2 linked regions of the Notamacropus eugenii genome follow. The protein of the gene in region 2 interacts with the protein of the main gene of each other region in a pairwise test. Links are inferred from orthologs where the notes say so. Each region holds a gene or a part of one and is shown on either strand. Other genes may lie near its edges.

Region 1 (12,519 bases), on a different chromosome or scaffold from region 2:
GGACTGATATTCTCATTCAGGAGTTGCCCAAACCAATAAAATCATAGGTCCAGGCACTATTGCTAGAGAGGGATTGTGATCTGTATTAGTAGAAATTCCCATACCAGTGAAATCATAGGTCCTTGAAATGTAATATGTTTCTCCCTCCTAGACCATAAGTTCTACCTGAGCAGAGACCATGGTTCATCTAAATATTGTATCTCTCCCAAGCTTGCCAGAGGGTTTTAGACACATTTCATTCATTCTGATCTAAGGGTTAGGTGATTAATTTATGCAACTCTACTCTACTAAAAGGTACAGCTATGTGGTATATTAGATAGAGAGCTCGGCGTGGAGTCGGGTAGACTCATTTTCCTGAATTCAAATCTGACTTCAGATACTTCCTAGTTGTGTGACCCTACACAAGTCACTTAACCTGTTCGCCTCAGTCTCCTCATCTGTAAAATGAGCTGGAGAAGAAAACAGCAAACCACTCCAGTGTCTTTGCCAAGAAAACTCTAAATCAAGCCACAAAGAGTCATGCAACTAAGAAAACAACTGAACTGCACCCTACTAAAAGTAAGTGAAAAGATGCCTAATCAATCAATTTCAATTATAGGCCCAGTCAAAGTGTGAAAAGTCCTAACTGGAATGATTTTTGTACAACCATATTCAGACAGGCTAAAGAAACTTGGTCATGTACCAGGAGTCTACAAATTATCAAGTGGATTTGAGAAGACATTCATTCAAAGAGTTGGAACAAGCATGGAATTTGGCTAAACCCTGTGAAAAAAGAACTTCTTAGAAGGAAGGAGAGATCTCATCTCTTGCTTTAGCCTAGGTTTACCCTCTCCCTCCATCCCCTTTGTCCAGAGCACATTTCAGTGGTCCAAAGGGTATTAGACTTCCCATCATCTTTTTGGTATCCTAGCAGCGTATCCTCACATCAGAGGAAAGAACCATCTGTATCAAAAGTCAAGGACAGACTAGATGCACATTCATCATGTTTAAGGGGAGTGTAAGAGTACCCCAAAAGTGAAATCAAAGGACTTCCAGTAACTAGGAGCTATAATTTTATTTATTTTTTTTCCATATGTGCTCTTTAAGCTTGAGCCCACTTTCCTTTACCCTGGACTACTCATACATTTATGGAAGGTTGTGTCCTAGACTTTTGAGTGGATATTTTGAACTAACTTTTCTTAATGCAGCTCCTTAGTAAATACCCCTTTCTAAATGATACTTTGGGCTGGCTGACTAAATGATTCCTTCCCTTCAATAATCATGGGAGGAAGTATACTAGTGAGGGCTTAAGTCAAAGTCATTAAAGTATCACCCCTGATCCTTAAAGCATACTCCCAGACCCCTGAAGGAGGGATGTGGCCAAACTCTGGGGACCCATCTCATCAGTGAGGAGTTGAGATAAGAATTCTCAGAGATTATATATAAAAATATTTATCTTGCTGGGGCAAGGTATTACGCTAGGTACCTGAGATGCAAAGATCATTAAAAAAAAGAAATAGCTCTTGCCTTCAATATGTTTATTTTCCACTGGGAGAATACCTCTGGTGAATCAGTAAGGTTTCCTATAGTTGGTGGCACATGAGCTGAGCCTTGAAGGAAGCTAAGAATTCTAAAATGTAAAAGTAAAGAAGTAGATTCTAGGTGTGGGGATGGGGTAGGAAGGAATGTGGAGGGTGACCTGTGCAAAAAACAAAGGTAGAATATGGGATGCTAAATCCTGGGAGCAACAAGTAGGCCAGTTTAACCAGAATATAGAGTCCATGAAAGATAGAATGTGAAGTAAGTTTGTAAAGAAATGTGTAGTAGGTGCTTTGAGTCTCCTATTGCATGAAGAACTCTAGAAGGAATGAGTACAGTTATGTCACAGGTTTAGTTATAGGTGGAAATTTCTACATGAAAAGTCTTGTTATGTTCTTATCAGAGGTCATCTCATCTTGCCACATAATCCCAATGTCCATGTACATTTCAATAATCTCCAGTATAGAGTTCTGCATTTATAAATCCAAAAGGATGGAGAGAAGTTCTCATTAGTATAAAATGAGTCAGTGATTTTAGAGTTTCCTTCCTATTTCTACCCCCAGTTTGAGAATGCCCTTTTTGTTTTATTTTCATTCTCTCCAGAAAAGGACTTGGTCATCTTCTGAAATATGAGAGGAAATATGTGAAAATCTCTAATGCAGTGTGATCCTAAAGCTTAGCTAGCTCTAGAAATAAAATGGAAATAGCATAGTATAGTAGAAAGAGTACTAGCTCTGGAGTTGAAGGACCTTGGTTCAAATCTTGCTTCTGATTGCTACTAGCATGACCATGGGCAAGTTACTTAACTCTCATGAGTCTATTCTTATCTGTAAGTTGGTGGGGTTGGACTAGAAGCCCTTTGAGGCTCTTTCCAGCTCTAAATCTATGATTTTATGATTATATTCCCATGTTGTTTCTCACAATTTTATAATTGTTCCACATGGATGAGGTTTAATAAATATTTTTTGAATATTCAACTCATGGCTCTCAAAGGAGAGAAATCAAATGATCTGGGAGGCCACTGGGTAAAGGAGAGAATGGTCACATTCTATTGCAAGGCCAGAGGTTTACTTACTTTTTGTTAGTTTAGTCTAGGCATTCTATTTGCTCTTGTTTACTTTCCAGGTTAAATAATGCCCTGCTCAGAGCCTTGTATTTTGGGGCCCAAAGAGTTCAGCTGTACTACTGAACAACGTCTTGGATGATTATTTTCTGGCAATCTTTCAAATGACCAAAGCTGCTGAACTATGTAAAACCATTTCAGCTCTCCTGCTTACACAAGGCAATGGTTTTCACTTGTGGTTTTGAAGACAAGATTTCTTGAATCTGCCATTTTGTTTTCTGCATGCTTTGCTATTTTCTGCCCAAAGAAAGGAAACAAGCCTCACTGAGTGCCACAGGAATAATCTCACCCTATGATATTTGCTCCATTCACTTGTAAATAAAGGAGTGAATGTCCTGAATTTGGCAGACTTCTCAACAAGTTAACAAGCATTTATTAAGTCCCTATGTGCCAAGGCCTGTGCTAAACTCTGGGAATACAAAGACAGGCAAAAAAACAGTTTCTGCTCTCATACATTCTACAGGTGAATGAAGAAAGACTATATGCAAACAACTATATACAAATAACATATACACATGATGAACTGGAAGTAATCTTAGAGGGAAGGCATGAGAATTAGGGGGGATGAGGAATCTTGCAGAAGGTAGGATTTTAACTGGGACCTTAAAAAAGCAAGGAAAGCTAGGAGATGGAGATGAGTTAGGAGAGAACTGCAGGCATGGCAGCCAGCCAATGAAAATTCTTGGAGTCAGCGGATGTACTGTCTAGTGTAAAGAACCACAAGGATGACATTGCCACTGGATATAGAGGAAAATATGGTGTAAGAAGACTGGAAAAGTTGAAAGAGGGTAGGTTATGAGCTATGTCCTCATAATATAACTATTTATTGAAGTGGCATAGTGCCACAAAGTTAGTCTGGTATTTGTGACTTGGTTGGACTACAAAATGACAATTCTGCCAAGGTTATATAGTTAAATAAAACTCGAGGCGAAGTTTGCCGTTGGCACCTTCTTTATCTCTTCTTATATCTGAACAATGAATCTTTTTTTCTCCTTACTAGTGGCTGTGTTCCCAATCCTTTCTAACCCTGCTCTCCCAACCTCACCCTCCAACTATGCTTCATGTCTTACCTTCAGTTAACTTTTAAGGAATCTTATTAGGATTGATAAGTAAGTAGTTAACAAACATTTCTTAAAGACATGTCATTTAAGACTATTTGAAATCAAGTGTTTCATACATAAGAGAATGAAATGTATGGTGGCATGACGTGGCAGGTTTGATTGGAGGTTGGAAGGCTGTTCCCCTCATAAATCTAGTACCACAGAAGCAGTCACTTTACCTTGTACCTCTTCCTAAAGTCCATTTTATCTGACCCAAATTCTAATTTTATAAGGGAACTCCAAATGCAGAGTGAATAGAGGGCCATTTTTGGAGTGTGGAAGACTTGGGTTTGAGTCCTACTTTGTTTACAGGGACTCAGACCTCAATGAAATTTTATTTGTCTTTCTGGCCACCTAAAAAGGTAGGATAATAGAGAAGAAAACTGCCTGCATTCAACTGTCTAACATCTTTGTATCTCTTTGATGTGCAAAAAATGAAAACAAACATACCCTTTCCTCCTATACAAATGAAACATGAAATGGTAAAAGAAAACATTTATTCTTAAAGAACACATGAAAATAAAAATGTAAACTTGTAAAACAACTTAAATCAAAAATATATGTGTACACATACATATATATATCACACTAAAATTCATATCTGCAAAGTTCAGTTTCACAAATTGTAGCATTCCCCTAATGCAGCATATTTAAAGTTTATTACTGAGAACGCTTTTTATGTTTCACTAAGATGTTAAAGTTTTTAATTTTTATAATTTTGACATCAGATCTTTTTTACTTAAAAGTCTGAAATATTCAAAAATTGTTCATGCTGTATGTAAGAGCATTTAGGTTTTATAAAAAAAGAATAAGAAAAATTTAAATGTACATTTCATCATAATTAAATAAAATTGTAATCCAAATTCCCAAATAGCAACTTTATTAATAAAAACATCCACACTTTAAAATAACTGATTCAAGATGAATGCAAAGCATATAATAAGATGAGAATACACTGTCATACTGTCAAAGAGCAGAAGTGAATAGTTATCTATTATCAGAAAACCTCAGAAATGTTTGGTTTGCAGAACAAATTCACAAGCCTTTATTCAGAATTGCATATGCACGGAACGTGATGTGCATATATGTATAAGTGGCTAAGGATTACAATATAATATAATTATATGCTGCCCTGAATGTGTAATTAGTAGTTCTTAGGTTAATTAGAGTCTATATTGACTGATAACTGACAGAATGCTGTATATCATTATTATTTTCTTTGAAATTCACTGAACTTACAATGGATGTGAGAAACAATTGACAAATAAGATACTACGGAGAAAGGACATATGTGACATATGTTCCCTAACCCAGTAATTTGTACCATCCTCCCATTTAGTCCTACTTCACTAAGAACTCCCTCTATCACAGTGCACCAAATTGATCCTCCAGCTCCTATCTGAAGATCAATAGTCACAGAGATCATGAGATCATAGGTTTGGAAGTGATAAGCAATTTAGAGGCCATGAAACTCAGCTGTCTCATTTTACATACAAGGAAAATGAGACACTAAGTTACTTACTCAATATCACACAACTAGTAAGTGTTAAATGTGAGATATGAATCAAGTTTTCCTAACTCTGATTCCATAACTTTATCTTAATTTTAATCTATTTAAATAAAAAATAAAACCTCTATACTTACCGAGGCAGCCCATTACATGTCTGGATAGCTCTAATTTTTAGGAAGTCTTGTCTCATGTTAGCTGTCAGCTTCTCTGAAACTTGTACCTATTGCTCTAGTCTCTACCCTTTAGAATCAAACAACAATACTAATCTAATCCTTCTTCCACCTGACAGTCATTCAAATACCTGAGGTCAGCTGTTTTGTCTCTTCTAATTCTTCTCTACCTGGATAATACAGCTTTTCTTCCCACTATTGATACTTATTTGGCTCCAGTACTCTCAGTATCCTCCTCATCCTTTCTAGTCTGTCTATGTAAAATGTGGAAACAAAAACAGAATAGTACTCCTGATGTGTTTTGAGTAGGGTGGAGCACAGTGGTCCTTCAGCTTTGATTGTCTTAGATGTTATTTCTTTAAGGCAATCTAGGATAGCATTACCTTGTTTTGACTAACATACTACCCCATGGGCTAATACTATCACATTTGCAAGCCACCAAAGTCTCCAGATCTTCTTCAAATGGGCTGTTAAATCATTCTATCCCCTCTTTATTCGTTATCCAATGAAGGTGACCACCTTGCCATCTAGAACTTTCAACTAAGCAGTCATCAATTAAAATGTTATATAGCATAGGGCCAAGCATAGCTCTCTTAATAACCGTTCTTTAGGTTGAGATATTAAAGCAGTCTCAAATATACCTTATAACTATTATCTGGCCTACATCTGAGTATATTGTTCACAAAATTAGCATGAGGGCCTTTTGTCAAATGTCTTACTGAAATCTCTCAGTCTAATAACCCTATCAAAAAAGGAAACAAGGTTTATTTGATGGAGCCATGCTGTCATTTCCATCCTGAATGTTCACAAACCATTCTCTTAATATGTCCTACAGTTTTGTTAGAAATAAAAAATAAAGTTCATGTTTTGTTTTATTTGTTTTGCACACACTACTTCCCTTCCTTTTTTTGAAAATCTGGTCATTTGTTCTCCTGCACCATCTCTCCTGTTCTTCTTACTGTCTTCCAAATATCACTGATGGGCTTAGCAATCATGTTTTCCAGGTCTTTTCATCTCTCAGTGTAGTTCATCCATGTCTGATGTTGTGAACTCATTGAGACCATCCAGCTGCTTTTACCTTATTTGCTTTTGGTTTGACTGCTTTTTAAACCATGTTTATTCTTTAAAAAAAAAATCACAAAGATTTTTGCCCTGGCAGTGGAAACAGTATCAAAGAGTTGAGCAGCTGATTATGTGTCACCTTTGTTATCATCCTATGTAGCAATACTTTCTTCATTCCACCTCTTATCAAACACATCAGTCCAAATTTCTTCCAAACTAAAGTTGAGGCTGGATAGCAACTCAAAAGTCATATCAAAAGTCTGAGGGAAGGAATTAAACCACAAAATATAAAGATTAAAAACAATAGAGGGGACCTTTTTTTTTTTTCAAATGCTCTTTCAAAACAACAGGAGTGGGAGGAAGGAATGATCTCACAAAGAAGTGTGTCCAAGGGAGGGTTTAAATTTTAGCTTACATTGTGCAGCCAAATCTTTTTTCTTGGAGCAGCACTCTAGTGTCATTTTAAAAAATATTTTCTTTTCAAGTTTGATTTCCAGTATTATTTTTAAATCTTTTTTTGTCAGTCATCATCCATCTCATGTTAGTATGTTTTATTCTTTTTCCATGTAAGCTTTGACCCATAAGTCATTTTACAAAACCAGAGTAACTTTCTAATTAAAGATGAAATGATCACACAAGTTTCTATGAGATCTGTTTGTGTTTGGTTCTAGCCACTTCTCCAATTGATCAAAAGAATTTTGAATTCTAACTCCGTCTTCCAAGGTTTCAAATGAACTCAAAAGGGATAGCTGGGGCTATCTACTGAACTTAATGCTTGTCAATTAAGGGGCACTAAATAACAATTAGTTCAACTATCTCATTCTTTTGCCAGGATCATTAGATGCTACAATGAACATTTCCTCTTTAATTCTGAAGTCTCTATTTTCTTAAAATCAAAGAGTGGCATTATTAAAAATTGTTATTAATGCGAGTTGTTAGTTTTCCATGGTTAATGAAAGCAAGAAAATTGATGTTAGCATTTTTAGGGAAGCTATGTTAAAATATAGAATAGGTGATCTTTTTGGAGTAATGCCTCAAAAGGAAGCAAAATAATGTTTGAATAAATACAGTGACGGGGAGCAAGCTATGCAACCACTCAGTTCACTCCATTTTTATAAAGTTCTTGTTTGCAAAATCTGTCACTACATCCTACTCATTGGTCCTAGGTCTGCCATCTGGAAGTACATAGAATGTCTAATGTCACTGCCATGTGAAGTTTCCTTCAAACATCTAAAATTTTACATTCATGTTATCCCCCCACTCTCCCAAGCGATCTCCTCCGTCCCCCCAGATTAAACACTCCTAGTTCCTTCAACCACAGTTAAATATCATATAGCTTCCAGAACCTTCCTGGTCACCCTCTTTAACCACATTCTGAACAATTTATTACAGTTTATATTTATTAAATGTCTACTATATGCTAGGTTTGGAGGCTACAAAGACAAAACTGAAGAAAGGTCCATCCTTTCAAGAAGCTTATATTCTCCTGGGGGAAAACAATATGCACGTGATAATAGCTAAGATTTGTATAGTGTTTACTAGGTGTCAGGCACCATGATAAGCCCTTTACAATTCTTATCTTATCACATCCTCATGAACTCCCTACTGGAAGGTGGGTGCTATTAACCCCTCCCCCCACAGATGAGTATGTACAAAATAAATTCAAAAGAACGGTTCTTTTGGGGGGGTGGGGGAAGGAAGAAGGCATCCTTAAGCACTATGAAGGGAAGAGAGTTAGGGATTCCAGGCAGCAGCAGTAGAGAGGGAGAGCATTCCAGGCATAGGGGACATCTTATATAAAGGCATGGATAGGGCAGATGGAATATTGTGAACAGGCATCATTGAATAGGTCAGTTTGAAATGCAAAGTGCATTAAGAGGAATGGATATAAGTCAGTTTGGAAAGACAGGTTGAAGAATGATTGTAAAAGACTTTTTTCCTTTAAAAATAAAGCATCTAGAACTGAACATAGCACTCCCCAAAACAGGCTTAGTGGTACAGAGTTTAGTGGGAATAAAATCCTGCTGAAAACATCTATTCACTATTTATTTATGAGGCCTTGAATACATTCATTGATTTTGATGATTTTTTATTATTAATGCAAATTTCAATATGGAAACTACATACAAAGAACAGAAGACTATATGAAACTGTTAATGCTGACTACACAGGTTTTTATATTGAGATTAATATGACAATAATAAAATTGACCTTCTTGACCACTTCCCTTTTTGAGTAGACATTCCTGTGTTTAAAAAAATGGTTGATGCTTCCTTCTTTCTCCTCTTCCTCTTTTAATTTTTTTGGATGGCATCACTATTACTTTATAATTCTACCTCCCAGAAAAAAAGAAACTCTCCATTATGACAAATAATTCAACCAAAACAAATCAGCACATGGAAATGACTGGGTAGGGACACAAACTGTACCATCAACCAAAAGGATGTGTCTGATGAGAAACTACAGGGAACCTGTAAGTAAGCTAGACCAAATCTTGAGGCTATTTCTTCAATTCATTTGTGCAGGTGGGAAATATCAAACTGTTCTTTCAAAGTATTGGTTTTATATGTTTTACCAAAAGGTACAAATTACAGTTGGCCAGTTTATGACTATTCCACATTCTGGCAGAGAACAAACAAATCATGCCGGTGATTATATTTCATTCATCAGGCACAATGCATTACACAATAGTCTAAAAGAATCACAAAAAGTAGATGTCCACCTATACTGAGTAAGCTCTGCAGGACACCTTAAGTCTGTTCATTCTCTTTACTACCACAGTTAGCCTACAAGGGAACAGTCTTATATCATGCAAACAGATTATCTTATCTTACATCTATTACAGATACTTCTCATGGTTTCTGAACAAATGTCCATGTATACAAAGTTTTTTAGAAAATCAATATATACAAAATGAAACATGAAAAGTAAATTATCTAATTTTAAATGATCCAGTCATCCTAAAGATATGAATGCCAGTCATATACAATCTTTTTCTCCTTCAAATTTTAAATTTATTTGGCATGAACATGAGTGTTTCTATAACAAAAAATTCTTCATGAAAAAGTCATCAAAGATAAATAGGATGGTTCTTTTCAGCTAAAAAAGTAAAAGCTAATATTTTTTGGAATAACAGCTAAAATTTAAATTATTCTAATCAACAGTAAAAAAAAATGATAATCCAGAAAAGGCCTCATTATTATTAATATTTAAAAGTCTTAGCTGAAGTTTTCAGCTGTACATTCAAGTGCTCATTATAGAGGAAACTAAACAATACTCCCCATAAAAGAACACCCCCAAAACACATAGTTGAACGAACCAACTGTTTGCATTTGCATTTTCCCAGTTGGTTAGAAATGGACTTTAATATCAGCTCATATCTCTGTTTTTGTAATATTACAATCAATAAAATTCTAGCACTGTTTGGAGATTCTAAACCTTGGGGATTACCTCTTTCATGTATTACTGGCCTAGGGACAGTTAACATTTCTCTCCTACTTTTGTCTCAGCCTTATAGAAAGGACTAAAGGCTAAGCATTGTGCCAACTGGAAACTCAAAGATCTTTCAGTGAAAGAACTATTGACAGCTTTTGGATATTCTAGTCATTTAGTGACCTTCTTTCTTTAAGGTGACATCCTCTCTTCACCAGCCTCCCACATTCCCCATTCTCTAACACAGAATGTAACTATCACAAATGCAATAACATTAGAAACAAAGGCAAATTTAAAAAGACCTACTAACCTTCTGCTTTGCATTTTAGTATCAATTTCCCCTTTCCTTTCCACTATTTGTACTTTAATTTCCTTTTTGTCCCTTCCTACTCCCTAAACTTAACCAGCAGTTCATATTTCTACAATCAAACTGAAGCAAAAAAAAAAAACTCTAAAAATTAAAGACTATAGGAAAATGTCATTGTTTCATTTGCATTTCAAAGGACTCTAGTTTCCTATTGAGTTTTAGCAAATGATTAGTGTTATCCTCACAGTCTTCATTTTTTTTTAAAGCACACTTTTATAAGATAGAGTGACAATCTATTAAACCCCAAAGGCACAGAGGTAGTACCAGTTTTGACTGACAGCCAGTTCTAAACCTCCCTTTGTAATAACTTTAAAAAATGACAGCCAGGAAGTTTCCTTTCTTTAAACAGAAAATGTTGGGCTAATTGATTAAGTAGTACATTTGCCATTCAGATGATTACTGCCTTTCTTGCACAGTACAGTACAGTAAATGGGATACTAGATTTTGAGTATTTTTATACTTACTTTTTCAGACAATCATTCAACAAGCAATTATTAAATGCTAGGTGCCACCCAGCACCATACTGGGAATGAAAAAACAAAGATAAAACATTTCCTGACCTCAAGGAGTTTATAATCCACCTAGGGAAAAGAGCTTGTATATATATAAGCATATGCCAAATATATAAAAGCAGAAACACAGTAACTTGTTGGGAGGTGGGGGTGGGAAGATGCTAGCAAGTAGAAAGACTAAACAGGAAAAGATTCACATAGAACATTGTGTTTGGGTTTAGCCTTGAGGCAAATGAGATTCTAAGAGGAAAAAGGGAGAAGGGAGAGAATTCTAGGCAGGAGAGGAAACTATAGTAAAGATATGGTGATAAGAAATTAATAGACATATAAGAAACATTAAATAATTTAAGTAACTTCCATTGGACTATGGAGTATGCGCAAGGGAATAATGTGTAATAAGGTTGGAAAAGTAGGAAGTGAACAGGTTGTAAAGAGTTTAAATTCTTAAGAGAAGATTTTATAGTATGATCCTGAAGGTAACAGAGAATGACATCATCAAACCTAAGCTTTAAGAAAATCACTGACAGCTATGGGGATAATAGATCGGGGTTGGACTTTGAAATGAAAATATCCTCCCTCCTTTCAGCAGTCATGGACCAAACCTCCATGAGAAAAGCACACAGTAGGAATTGTCTTATATTGTATCTCCCTTATATTGTACTGCTTCCATAGAGCAGTGCTTCTTGAACTGTGGGTCGCATGGGGTCACGAAAAAATTGCAACAATAAAAGGTTTCTGAACACTCAATGACGAAAAATTAATTCAAAATCAAAAGTGTAATGAATTCAAGTTGTTTCTGGCAGCATTTGCATCCTGCAACTTCACTGAAGCCTTGTTTCCGAACACAGAACATGTGCACTTTGCACTGTGCACGCCATCACATCACGCAATGTGAACAAACACTGCCAAAAATATCTATGCTCAGATTTGAGATGCTTGTATGTTATGAATTGCAGTGTTTTTTTACTGTACATACAAAATCATTAAATGAATTTTGGCTTGGGATTAGGACAGTATTTCCAACAATTTCTGAAATGGCCTTAACCATACTTCTGCCATTTTGTACCATGTATTTATGTGAAGCAGCATTCTCAACATTGACAATCATAAAATTAAAATATCAAAAAACTCTGAAAAATGTTGAAGATGCTCTATGTCTCATGGTATCAAATATTCCTTCAAGATTTAGTTCTTTATGTAAAAATAAGCACATCTCATTTGCTTTCATTTTAATAAATGGTAATATTATATGTATACCAAAGAATTATTTTAAGATAAATTTATTTATGATTTATTAGTAGTAAATGTTTGATTTGTATACCTATTTTATGCATCTATATACCCTGGGTCACATAAAAATTACGTATCTATATACCCTGGGGTTGTGAGTGGAAAAAGTTTAAGAAGCCCTGCCATAGAGTATGTTGACTGCTATGAACAGGTTATAGCAAAGAAAAGGCTATGACTTTTTGAATGGAACACAAGCTTGCAACTATGTGTAACACGCTTTCAACTTTAAAGCCCTTCTGAAGGAGGAGGAGGAGGAAACAAGGATAAAACAAACATTTGAGCAACAAGGATTAACTCTTTGAAAAGAGTTTGGGGGTCCTAGGAAACTTTGATTCATGGTGTGGACATTTACCACTGTGCTCAATCAACCCTCCCTTGGGCTTTTCCCATATTGCCTTGGCTTTTTAGCTTAGTCCCTGTTTTGGACGCTACATC
Region 2 (12,405 bases):
TTGAGACACTGCATTAAGTAGGTGCCAAGGATACATAGGAAGGTCAAATCAAGCCTACTGCCCTCAGGGAGCTTCCAGCCCAACAGAGGAGGCCACATGAAAACAGCCTCCTACAAACAAGCTGCCAACTGGAAATCAGGAAGGCTTTCTGTAAGAAGTGGCATTTTGGATGAGGATGTTCTCCAGGAGGTGGAGATGAGGAGTGGGGCGTTCCAGGCAGGAGGCACATGCGCATGGGAAATAGAATGACTGCCCCCTGCTGCAGGTGAGACAGGGTGACCTTGTCAGTGCCTCAGACTTCCCCATAGGCAGTGGACCCAGGAACCTGTAGGAAGCAGGGCCTTCCTCCCCTGCCTGGCCCCTTCTTCTTTGGGGTCCAACAGTGGGAGGGAGAGGAAGCCCAGGTGTCTAGGAAGCTGGAGGGATATGAGGCTAAACCGGACTTGGGGAGACTCCAGCCCTGCCCTGGCCACTGACCAAAGCCTTCTCTATTCTTTGCTGGGGTGGGGGTGGTGTCCTTTTCTCTCCAGCTACAAAGCTGAGCTTGTCTCTCTTTGTACCCTCTGGGCTGGGGGCTCCAGGAAGGAGACAGTATAGGACCTAAGCCTTGGAGGAGAAGAGGGATGGGTTAGATGTAAGAGTAAGGAGGGTGCTCCAGGCAAGTGGAAGACTATAAGCAAAGGTAGGAAAGCTAGAGTGCAGGCCTGTGAACAGGGGCTGAAGCGATTGGGTCAGGCCGAGGTCAGTTGGCATTTATGGGCCAGGCAAGATCCAGGGCAGCTCCTCCCTCAGAAAGTCAGGGTGTGGAGGTGGCCCCAGACAAGTTCAACTTACTATCCCTCCCCCATCACATTTGCTTCCTATTCCCCAGCCATTTGGTCCCAAGACCTTTCTTCCAGAACCTTCCTTAGCTTCTGGAAATTGGGAGCAAGTCCAGTCTCCTGCCCTGGCTCTGGTCCCGCTGAGCCAGTCTCACCTGCTGGACTTCCAGGTCCACCAAGTGCCAAAGGTAATCATTGACAGGAAGGACAACGAGAAAGATCCTCCTCCTCCCTGTCTCCTATTGATCATTTGTCGCCTCCTGTCCTTCCCCTCCTGATCTGTCCTGCCCAAGTACCCAGGCATCCAGGGCTGGTTGTGGGAGGAGCCTGGAGGCCGAAGCCCAAGCAAGGAGGGGGCTTTCAGCAGAGAGCTGTCTTGGGTCTCTACGGCCTTCCGCCCATCTGAGATCTCAGGGGAATGAAGGGGAGGGGGTGCATGGGGAGCCAGAGGAGGGTGGGGGGCTATCTATGCAACCCAGCAAGGGACCCACTCCCCTCAGGGAAGGCTGGCTTCTGACCCTGGTATCATTGGAAGTGGTTATCCCCTTCCATCCCCTTCCCTTGAACCAAGGGGAGGGCGCTGAGGCCTCTAGAAGGAACCCCAGGGAGGCTCCTGCTCCCTCCTAGCTCAGCTGAGCTCCTGGAAGCCTAGAGAAAGCAGAGATCACCCTGTCAAACTCTCTCTTTTTAAAGAAGAGGAAACTGAGGCAGCCTGAAGAGTTTTGTCCAAAACAGCAGTTTGTTTTTTTCAGTGTCTTTCCACAACCTTCTGCTAGATAAAGACTCCCTTTCCCCACCCCATCAGCCCCACCCCATCCTACCCCACCCTCTTTCCTGGCCTCCAAGGAGAGTTTAATGCCCACCCCCATGGCATGGGGGAAGAGAAATGTCTCTTTTTATGCCTAGACAAGTGGAGGCTCCTGGGGCAGAATCATACCTCCTTTCTCTCCTGCTCCCTCCAAGCTTGCCTCACTGGCCTCATGTACAGAGCTTCATGTCCCTAGGAAGATCCCTGCCTCTGTTCCCACCTTCCCTCAGCACCAGTCACTGGTTCCCTGAGGGACAGGTGGCATTTATCTTCCCCTACTCACTTAACTCTTATCCTCACTCATCCCAGACTGGTCTAGCTCCACTATCCAACCCAAGTGGGACTATCCAGGGTGAGACCTGGCACCTGAGAACCTGCCTTTGAGACCTGGTCAAGTGCCATCTCTCTGGGTCTCAGTTTCCTCATTTGTCAAAGGAGGGGGTTGGACAAGAGGAGCTGCAAGGTCCCGTCTACTTCCTTCTATTGACAGAGGACCTGAGTGGTCACATCTCTGCTTCCTTGGTCCCTAGATAGCCCTGTGAGGAGCGGTGTTGGGGAGGGGGAAGGGAGGTGGAACAGGGCGGCGTCTGTTGGTCCTGAGACTGAGAGAGAACCACAGGGGAGGTTAGCCATGTAACTTGCCCGCTTGTCATGGCATGACCCAGACTTTCCAGTGACCTGTTCTGGTCTGGAAGTGGACCCCACATTCCAACTAAAGTCCAAACTCCAGCTAACTGGGGGCCTTGGCTAGCTAATCTTCAAGCCTCGGCCAAAAGGAGGGCGTTTGCTTAATCACTGGGCTCAGTGAGGTGTTGGCCAAACATCTGAAGTGCTAATCATTGCCCACCTCTGGGTGCTCACTGGGTTTGATTAACAAGTCTGCAAGCTGTCTGTCTCCCAGGGCTGGTCATGGGCCAGGGCTTCCTCAGAGGCTGACTTTAGCAAGAGGGTTTACACACTCACTCACACGCACACACCTGTCTCACAATCTGGAAACATTCTGTGGCACGTTCCTCTCTCATCCCTGGCTCGTTTAGTGAAGAATCTCTGCCTCTCCCCCTGCCCCCCAACATCCTGTCAGCCCCTGCTGGGGCCTCAGCTCCCAGGCTGGGACCCCACTGACTGGCTCAGCCAGCCCCACCCCCTCTTTCTTTTGTAGGCTCTGGTCCTACCCAGGGCATCACAGGGCAGTGGAAAGGGGACCCGAGGTTCATGTCCAGGTTCATATGCCCACAGCCTGTGTGACCTTGGACAAGTCACTGCAGTTTCCTCATCTATAAAAGGAGGAGATTGTACTATATCCTATCATCTTAGTTCCTGGACCCACCTCCTAACTCTCTATCTGCCCCCCAGATCACTTCTGATTCATTCCCCTGACCAGTACCCCTGCCCTCCCTCCCCCACCCTGTCCAGTCTTCTGGAGTATGGCTCGGCTATGGGGAGCAGGGGAACAGGTCTTTTGAGATTCTGCCCCTCTCTGCCCTGATGTCCCAGAAGGGAAAGAGAACTGAGAGGGCCGACAGTTGTTACTAACGGGCTTGGCTTTGGGGTGTTCTCAGACACCCTTGAATAAAGGCCACCCTACACTGGTCCCCTCTACAGAAAGTACCTCAAGGCATGCAAACAGCCTGTGGGGCCACCCTTAACCCCTCCCATCCCACCCCACCCCCACCCCCACCCCCGGCATTGGGGAAGAGCCTCAGCTGGATGCCCAGTGCCTCCTAAGGTGGGGAGTCATCCTCGAACCCAGGCGTCCCTTGGGTGAGAGCCAGACCCTGTAATGGGATTTCAGTGACAGCTTCTTGGCTGCGGTGCCTTGTGTGTGCCACATTTCACTGACCTTCGGGGGGCCCAGAAGCAGCCAAGCAGAGCTCTCCTAGTACAAATGGGCTGAAGGACCCCGCCCATGGTCCCCCCATCCCCAGGTATTCCTCTCCACAGCTTCCACCCTGGCTCCCATATTTGGGGGGTGGCTCGAGAACCGCGAACGGAGCCCGCTTAAGTCTAAACCGTGCGTGCCTGCCGCCTCCCACGACTATCCCACTCTGAGTCTGGGGAGCAGGGACGCAACTCCTCCAGTCCGCCTTCCTAACCTCTCCCCATCAGAACATCCCCACGCCAAACTTGAACTCTGCTCTCCTTCCAGTTAAGAACCTAGTTAGTTCTCAGGCAAGAAGCAGGAGTTTGGAAGCTCTTTGCACAGAAGAAACCCAGGTGATAAGGCAGGGGGAAGGGGAACACCTGACAATTCCAAGGTTTTCATTCTTCTGACCTCCCCCCTGCCCCACCCCTCAAATACACAGAGGTTTGGAATAAGATGGGTAAAAGGCTGAGTTCAGACAGGTTCATGGCTTTCAAAATATCCAGCTGCTTGACCGAATTTGGCCAGATGATGTTTTTCTCCTTGGGTCTCTGTGTGGGTGGGTGTGTGCACTGTGGACATTTTATAACCAGGGGCTCAGAAGCACCAGGGAGGTAAGCCCCTGCCCAGGTCTTCCCACTATGGTGTCTGATTGTGGCCAATTACCCAAAGAACCACCTGTGGTGGGGGAGCATTGAGTCACTCAAGAGTTCCAGACAAGTGGAGGAAGGCATTATCAGCCCAGCCCCCTTTGCTGTCAAAGCCCTTCCTCAAGAGCAGGTCCTGGGAGAGGGGGTCTGGCCCACTGGCTAGCATGTCCTGCCCCAGCCTGGGCTGTGGACAGCATCTTAGGAGGCTATGGTCTGCCCCAAGGTGTGATGCCCTGGGGCAAGTTTCTCCCCAGTGTGAGCCCCAGCTTTCAAGGCTGGTCTGCAGCCCCACCCGACCCCCGGCCACAGGGCCCCCACTCACCCCATTGAGCCCGAGGCTGTTGCCAGGGAGGTTTGACGTGATGCCGGAGAGGATGGCCGCGGCTACAATGGCCCCCACACACTGGGCAATGATGTACACGATGGCCCGGAGGATGCTGATCTGACAGCTGAGCAGGAGCCCCAGGGTGACGGCAGGGTTGAGGTGGGCACCGCTGATGTGGCCCACGCTCTGCGCCAGCGTGGCGATGCTGAGGCCGAAGGCCAGTGAGACTTTCACGTTGTCCTGGGTGGCACCGGAGGTCTTGTTGCCCTCCACTGGGTAATTGTAGCCCAGGGCTGAGCCAATGCTGATGAACACAAAGAGGATCATGGCCAGGAACTCAGCCACCACTGCCCTCCAAAAGATCTTCTTTTTGAACTCACTGGCCATGGTGCCCCGACCTCCACCTGTCTTGTTCTGTCCTGCCCTGCCCTGCCTCAGTGGCCACAGATGGTTGGCACCCTGGTCCTTGACCTCAGAGCCTGAGCAGTGCTCTGGAGAACAGCCGCCTTCTGGGGCTATTTATAGGACCTCGGGGAGGGGGCAGGGGAAAGGAGGAGGAGGAGGGAGAGGGTGTAGCACAAAAGGAGGAAGGCTTGGCTTTCCTTGGGGGCCGGCCGGCCAGTGGGGCGGGAGGAGGGAGGCAGAAGGAGAGATGGATGGAGAGAGAGTGCTGCCTGAGTGAATGCCAACTGTTGGTTTTTTCCCTTCCTTCTTCTCCCCTCCCTCCCCAGCCAGACTGGGGAGGGCTCCCCAGCTGCTGCGGCCGGCAGGGGCCAGGGATAAGGCTGGCAGCTCTAATAGGCTTTCTGAAATTCTCCTAAACGGCCTCTTGGTGCACTCTGAGGAATGCCAGCATGCCTCCCTCCCGGGGCTCCTTCCCCCCAAGCCTAGATGCCCCCCTCTCCAGGATGGAGTTCTGGTGGTGGGGCTGTGCTGGGCCTTGGCACCAGGATGCCCTCTGCCCTTGGGGGGGCAGGGTGAGCCCTTCTCCCCACTGCCCCGTTACTTGGAGGGAGGCCCAGCAACAGGGCTTCTTGGACAGGCCAGGCTGCTGGGGGTGGAGGGGAGGAGGGGCAGGCTGGGTTAGGCTCAGTCCCTGGCCCAAAGAAGGGGCCAGATCACTCCCCAAGCCCCCACCCCCACCTCCAGGCCAGAAACCAGTCCAGGGCCCCTCCCCTCTCCTGTCCTGCCTCCCCTCCCCCCTACTTGGAACAGGGCTGGCCAAGCCTGACTGAGGGCACAGAGGTCTGAGGGAGCCCCCTCTACCCTACCTGCCTGGGGGGGGGCGCTGTCCCACCACCCAAAGACTGCTGCTGCAGGCTCACCCTCCGGGTGCACCAGATGAAATGCACTTGTCCTGTTTCCTGGTCAGAAAAAGCAGCCCATTCTGCCATCTCCAGGGAGACTGGACAGAGGACTCTGGCTGGGGCTGGGACAGAGCCTGGGCGGAGAGAAGAGAAAGGGGAGGGAGGAAAGAGAGAGGGATAGGCAAGACAAAGAGCAGGAGAAGGGAAAGGAAGCCAGGAGAGGTGAGGAAAACAGAGAAGAAAGGGAAGGGGAGAAAAAAAAAAAAGAAAGAGCAGCTGGGTGGTGCACGGGGTAAAATGCCAGGGCTGCACTCAATGCCAGAACTGAGTTCAAATCCAACCTCAGACACTCACTAGCTGTGTGACTCTGGCACCCTGTTTGCCTCAGTTTCCTCATCTGTAAAATGAGTTGGACAAGGAAATGGCAAATGCCAAGAAAACCCCTAAGGGGCAATGAAGTCAGACACAGCTGAATACAGCTGAATGCCACCATTCAGGGTTGTGAGGATGTCTGGTACGTGGTAGCTGCTATGTAAATATGAGCTACATTTTCTTAAGGAAAGAGATAGAGGAGAATAGAAGAGAAATGAAAAGACTGAGAGGAGAGAGGAGAAAGGGGAAGGGGGGAGGTTCAATGGAGAGGACAGAAAGAACCCAGGTGAGGGGGAGATAGGGCCATCATTGGGCATGGGACTAGGGGAGGTGCCAGCCTCCCGAGGAGAAAGGGGAAGTTTCTTTCGGAACACTCCTTGCCATCTGGAGACTCAGCTCAGATGTTCCTACAAGAGGGTAAGTGTCTGCACCCATTAAATGTGGGCAGTGCCCCCAAGCACCCCTGCCTCACCCCAGAGGAAGAGTAAAAGAAGAGAGGGGAAATGGGAGGGGGAGGAAGAAGAAAGTAGGAGAGAAACAGGAATGTGAAAGAAAAGGAATTGAGGAAAAAGATATAAGGGAAGGGGGAGGGGAGGAAGGAAAGGAGAAGGAGAGAGGGACATGCAGGGGAGATAATGAAGGAGAGAGGGGAGAGAAAGAAGCAGCGAGGAAAGAGACAGAGACAGGAAGAGAGAAACACAACGAGTGCTGGAAGTCTCAGGGATGGCACAGAGAAGGTCAGAGATAAAAGGATGAAAGTGGTTGGGTAGGAAATAAGTCTCTTGGCAGGGACCAAGGAAGGGGTTTTTGTCCGTCATTCTTCTGTTCTGCCCTCTCCTCACCCCTCCCTGAGGTATGTGCCCTTTCAAAAGCCCGGATTTCCTCTCCTTTTGCAGACACTCACTTCAAAGGTGGCAATAGGACAGGGCCAGATTTAAGGGAGAGAACAAAAAATCCAGTATCGAGATCAGAAGGTCCATTAAGAATCAGCTCAAATTGTTTGGTCCTTCCTCCCCCAGCCCCAAGGATCTGTCCTGAGTGCTTCCTCCCACTTACGTAACTGTCCTGCTTTATCCACACTGTCTGGACAGAGTTGAGAATAGAAATCCAGGGCTTCCTGGGCCTGGGGGCTCTGAGCTAAGAAGAGGTCCTGACGCCAGACCTGAGAGAGGTGAAGGACGTCCCTTGCTCTCTGTCTCTACAGCTCAAGGGAGGGGGAAGGGCACAATCCCATCTCCCAGGCCAGAGTCTCAGAGCCCAGTATCTGTTTCCTAGGGTCCAGGATCTGGGGAGAGGGGTGGGAGGGACATTGGCTGGGCCCACTCGCAGGTCAGAGTGGGCCAGCTACCCCTAAGGATGACTATACTCAGAGACCCCTTTGGTCCTTTCATTTGAGTCCCATCAAGACTCTGACCCCCTCCTAGTTACTAGTGGCTAGTCCTTCAAAGCCCTCAGACAATGGGTCAGTAAATATTTATTTATGAAGTCCTTGCTAGGTATTGTGAACACAAAAGCAGGAAAGTCCTTTCCTCAAGGATCTTACATTCTAATGGGGAGAAAGTTTATAAAGGGAACTGAAAAGGTGGGGGTAGGATGGGGCAAGTCTGAGAGGAAAGAGCTGGGGCTGGTCTGGGTGCCTGCCTGGGAAGAGTCAAGTCAGAGGGAGAGGCAGAAGGGCCCTGGAAGGCACTTCCTGAGTGTGAATGCTGACCACCGAGAGCTTCCAGGATGAAGGGGTTTCTGGGTCCTGGTAGAGAAGGCCTAGGGGGCATCCTGAAGGGGAGGGAGGAATGGCCCTGCCCGCAGCGTTCTCAGCTTTCTTGTATATTTTGTGTTCCGTGGTTTTTCCTCCAAGACAATGTGAATCCCTTGAAAGCAGAGTGTGTTTATTTTCCTTTTGGGGGGGAGGTGGAGATGGTTCGCCTTTGTATTCCTAGCACCAAGGACAGTGCCCAGCCTGAATGAATTGATTGATTGATTGATTGATTGAAGTGGACTTAGGCTGGAATGGGGGTGGGGAAGCCAGGACCAGCTCTGTTCCAGAGCTCAGCCTTTACAAGTGGGCAGAGTGATAGCCACAGTATAGGGAGGGCGGAAGGAATTGGCTCTGGCCCACTAGGAGGAGGTCAGCGTGTCTAAAGAAGTTGGTGGTCAGGAGTGGGGAGTGGGCAAAGAGATGCAATGGCAGTCATGAATGGGGGTGGGAGAAGCCTGGAATCCAGAGCAGGCAGATTCCAAGGTTGGCCTTGGACAAATTCCCTCACCTCAGTTGCATCATTTCTAAAATGGGGGCTTTAGACTAGGTAGACCCTGAGGTCCCTGTGACCCTGAGGCCTAGGCTCTTTTGTGGTCTTTGCTGATAAAAGCTTGTCACACACAGGCTCCTGGGGAACCCCTGACATCAGTCCCAGAGTAGAGTAGTGACCCTCTGACATGGGGACAGATAGGATTAGGGCAGTCACACTAGGCCAGAGCAGATAGCAATGGAGCGGGAAGACTAGCCCTATGAGATGCTGGGTCACTACTGTCTTTGTCCCTCCCCCAGGCCCTGGCTCACCTCCTCCAGGAAATCCTCCCCAGTGGAGGATTGGGAATGGTTATCCAGTAACCCAAACATGGTTGGGTGGGCTCCCATCTCTTTCCCTCACCCTTTGGGATGTCTGGGTCTCTGCTGGGCTGATTGATCTCCCAATGCACGGATCTCCCTGGGGGCTGACAATACCTCCCCCAAAGCCATGCCCACCTCCTCCATCTTCCAGCATCCAGCTGGGCCCAGAATTCTGGCTTCCTCAGGGTTTGTGGACTTGAAGAGACAGGGAAGGAAAGAGAGGATGGGCAAGCCCCTGGATGGAGCTTAGGGCTCACTTCTGCAGCAGGAGGAAGCTGTGGAATGAGGAGCCCCTTCTTCAGCTCCTTTACATGGCATTCCAATGTTCAGTTCATGACAGTCCAAGAAAAAGAAGGACCCAGCAAGTCCCCAACCTACCTGAGCCCCCATCCCTTTCCTTCCTTTCTTCATTGATGTTCTAATGATTTCTCAGGGCCAAACAGCTCACCCCTACTAAGCTCCTGCCTCCATGCCATGTCCCATTGACCCTGCCCCCAAAACTATTTCCCAAGCCTCTCACCTCCTCGATTCCCACAGCCCTGAGCACTGCTGGACCAGACTGTTCAGAATCTCAGCATCATTTGAGGATGCTAATCCGTAGCCAGGGTCCTATTATAGATTCCTAGATGTGGCTTTTTCTCATTCCCCAGACTAAGGTCTCTCTGAGAGCCAAGGTTGTTTCCCCATCGGACTGGAGGTTTTCTGAAGATGGGAGCTGGGTCTTCCTCCTCACACCAGAGACTCTCTAAGAGATAAGCCATTGCCTCCCCTACTATCAGGCAGAGGAATCCTGAGTGTAGGGTGGTTATCTTCAAGAAACTAGATATCCAGGGAAATCAGAAGGACACCACAGATATTAGGAGAAAAAGCCAAAGGATTACAGACCCATGGGGTGAGGGAGGGCTTTGAAAAATTAAGAGCAGGTGAGGAGCCCCAGGCCTGGAAAAGGGCAGTCAACAGGAAGGATGGCAGCTCTTCAGAACACAGGCTAGTGGCCTTGACTTGACTTCGGGTCTTGGTGCCATGTTAAAGAAGTAACTTATGAGGATTTGGTAAGGATGACCCCTATACACTATCAAGGGCTCGATAAGAACATGCCCTACTGCCTGCCTTTCTGTTGTTGCCCTGGAGGCTAAACAGGCTCATCAGAAAGCTTCCATCGAGGTGTTTGATGTTTTTTCGAAAATTGTGTGGACAAGGGAGGGAGAGAGACACCCATCTTGAGGAAGGTCTCTAGTGGGGTGCCCTAGGGCTCTGTTCTCAACCTGGGTCTGTTCAACATTTTTATCAGTGAATTGAATGAAAATCCAGCAAGGCTGCTTGTATAATCTGTGGACACCATGAAACTGGGAAGGGAGAGCTAACATGCTGGATGGCAACTCTGGGATCCAAAAAGTTTCAGGCAACTAGATGGCGTACTCTATTGAGTGCTAGACTTGTAGTCACAGATAGGAGTTCAAACCTTTCTGGCCATTTTACCAGTTCCATGTAAATGGCTTAATTAGCCTCAGTTTCTGCATTTATAAAATGTAATGTTTATAAAACAATTGCAAAACGTGATCCAATGAGATAATATTTGTAAAACTCCTGGCGTATAACGGATGCTGTATAAATGCCCATTCTTTTTCCCTTCTCCTAAAATGTGGATGATAATGTGCCTACTTCACAAGATCATTGTGGAGATCAATGAAAATATTCGTAAAGCACTTTGTAAATCTTAAAATACTATAGAGAGGGTAGGTATTATTGTCATAGTCTAGAATTTCATACAGATAAATACAGATAAATGTAAAGTCACACATCCAGGTTCAAAAAGCCAACTGAAGAAATAAAAAGGGAAAGAAATGTGGTTAGAGCACAGTACATCTGGAAAAGCCCCAGGGGTCAAAGTGGACCACAAGCTCAATATGAGTCAAAGCCAATAAGACTAGGCTTTATGAATGGATTGGGCCCCAGCATGAGGAAAGTGCTAGTCCAGCCATCCTCTGCCTCACCTAGTCAGATGATAGCTCGGGGCCAAATATTACTCGGCAGTTGTCACCAATGGGGAAAGTATCCAAAGCTGTGTGAATGGGATGGCAAGAGGACTGGCAGGAACTGTGCCCTGGAGAGGAGAAGTGTGGGGGTCCTTCCCATATATAGGAAGGGCTGGCATAGGAAAGCGGGATTCATCTGGTTCTGCCAGCCCCTGAGGGCAGCACTTGAGCAAGAAAGAAGGACTCCACCACCCCTGGCTCTTTTCTACAACAAGACTTGGTTAGAAAACTTTGCAGGTCTAAGCTGGGAGCCAAGGCAGACCTAGAAATCCACTCTGCTCCGAATCCACTCCACCCAGAAGCTCCTGAAGCCCTTTGGCAGGTGCTAGGTAAACACAGGCTGATTACCAGCAGTTTATGGGTTTATAGAGTGGTTAGACCAGTGCCTGCTTCCAGCAGAAACTCCAGCTAACCCTGAAGGAGGGTTGAGTACAGCAAGAGGTGAGAGGACAAAGTGGGAAGTCACATGGCTATGATTCTGTTGGGGTGGAGGTGCTGCTGTCCTCTCCCCAGCCTCATGTCCATTCTCATTCTTGTAGACAATAAAGCCCTCCAGCTGGAGGAGTACTAGACTCATACAACCATAGCATATAAGGGCTTCAAAGCCCATGGATGGGAGCCTAATCTGGGCCACCATTTTGTGGTGGACCCGAGTAGTGAGAGTTTGCCAGAGTCCCCTGAGCTACCTGAAGGCAGGAGCTGTTCTCAAGGCCTGTGGATGCTGGTACTGAAGGTGCTGGGGCCAGAGCCAGAGAAGGACCCTCAGGTAGTTCCCAGTCCAACTTGGAAGTCAAGACCCAGCTAAAGTTTACCTGGGAGAAGACCAATGGTGTGAAGGCTTTGAGGATCCCAAGATCTCGAGGACTTCACCTAGCTTGAGGCTTTCAGGCAAATCCTGGAGCTAGTTACCAAAAATCCTCATCTCTTTATTACAGCAGGCCCTGCAGGACCTCAGCTTGGCAGCACGTGGCTCTAGCGCTTAGTGGACCAAGGAGGAGAGCCAGACAAAGTCCTTGGTGGAGGAGACGGGAAATATTTGGGCAGCTCTGCTCCCCTGCCCGCTACCGCTAAGCAGGGCCCTCACTTCTCAGGGCCCACCTGACCCCACAGCCCCCTCCTGGCTGTGGGGCTCCCAACACTCGGCTCTGCTCCCTTGCTTTCCCCTTCTGGGATCACACTTCCTCAGGACACCTGCTCTCCAGGAGATAGGCAGCTAAGGTAAAGGTCCTCAGAACACGCATCACTTCTCTGGGGCATAGTTTCATTTCCTCAGAGCCTTCTGGAGACACCTTCTTAGCCCAATGGAATGAAGCTCAGGCCGTGCAGGATGCCTGAGGGAGAGAGCCTTGGGAAGGGCCCTCTGGGGCCATTGGGCCAGCATGTTCTTGCACTTTTCCCATCGCTTTGCACGCTGACATCCCTCCTGCTCCTCGCATTCACTCATGTACTTGTTCACTGATTCACTTATCAAACATTCATAGAGGAAGCCCCCAATGATGGATTCCTGCTTGGCGGCCAGAAAACTGCATTTCTCTGAAACTGTTTTGGAACGCTGACTCTTCCCGCTCCCAGCCTGACCTCTGCCCACGCTGCCCATGTGGCTGCCCACAGGGGTGG

The links.
Region 1: the proteins of AQP1 (region 2) and RGS17 interact in binary tests that used the Homo sapiens proteins (3 or more experiments, as listed by UniProt). The two-hybrid records come from large-scale screens. The link is inferred for Notamacropus eugenii from reciprocal best matches to the Homo sapiens genes AQP1 and RGS17.

The regions. Positions count from the first base shown.
Region 1 is NC_092873.1:245,566,056-245,578,574, forward strand, and holds the start of RGS17 (regulator of G-protein signaling 17), read right to left. Parts: upstream 5,551-12,519; 5' UTR 5,442-5,550; coding exon 5,386-5,441; intron 1-5,385. UniProt on the Homo sapiens protein: Regulates G protein-coupled receptor signaling cascades, including signaling via muscarinic acetylcholine receptor CHRM2 and dopamine receptor DRD2.
Region 2 is NC_092874.1:486,226,228-486,238,632, reverse strand, and holds the start of AQP1 (aquaporin-1), read right to left. Parts: upstream 4,970-12,405; 5' UTR 4,853-4,969; coding exon 4,463-4,852; intron 1-4,462. UniProt on the Homo sapiens protein: Forms a water channel that facilitates the transport of water across cell membranes, playing a crucial role in water homeostasis in various tissues.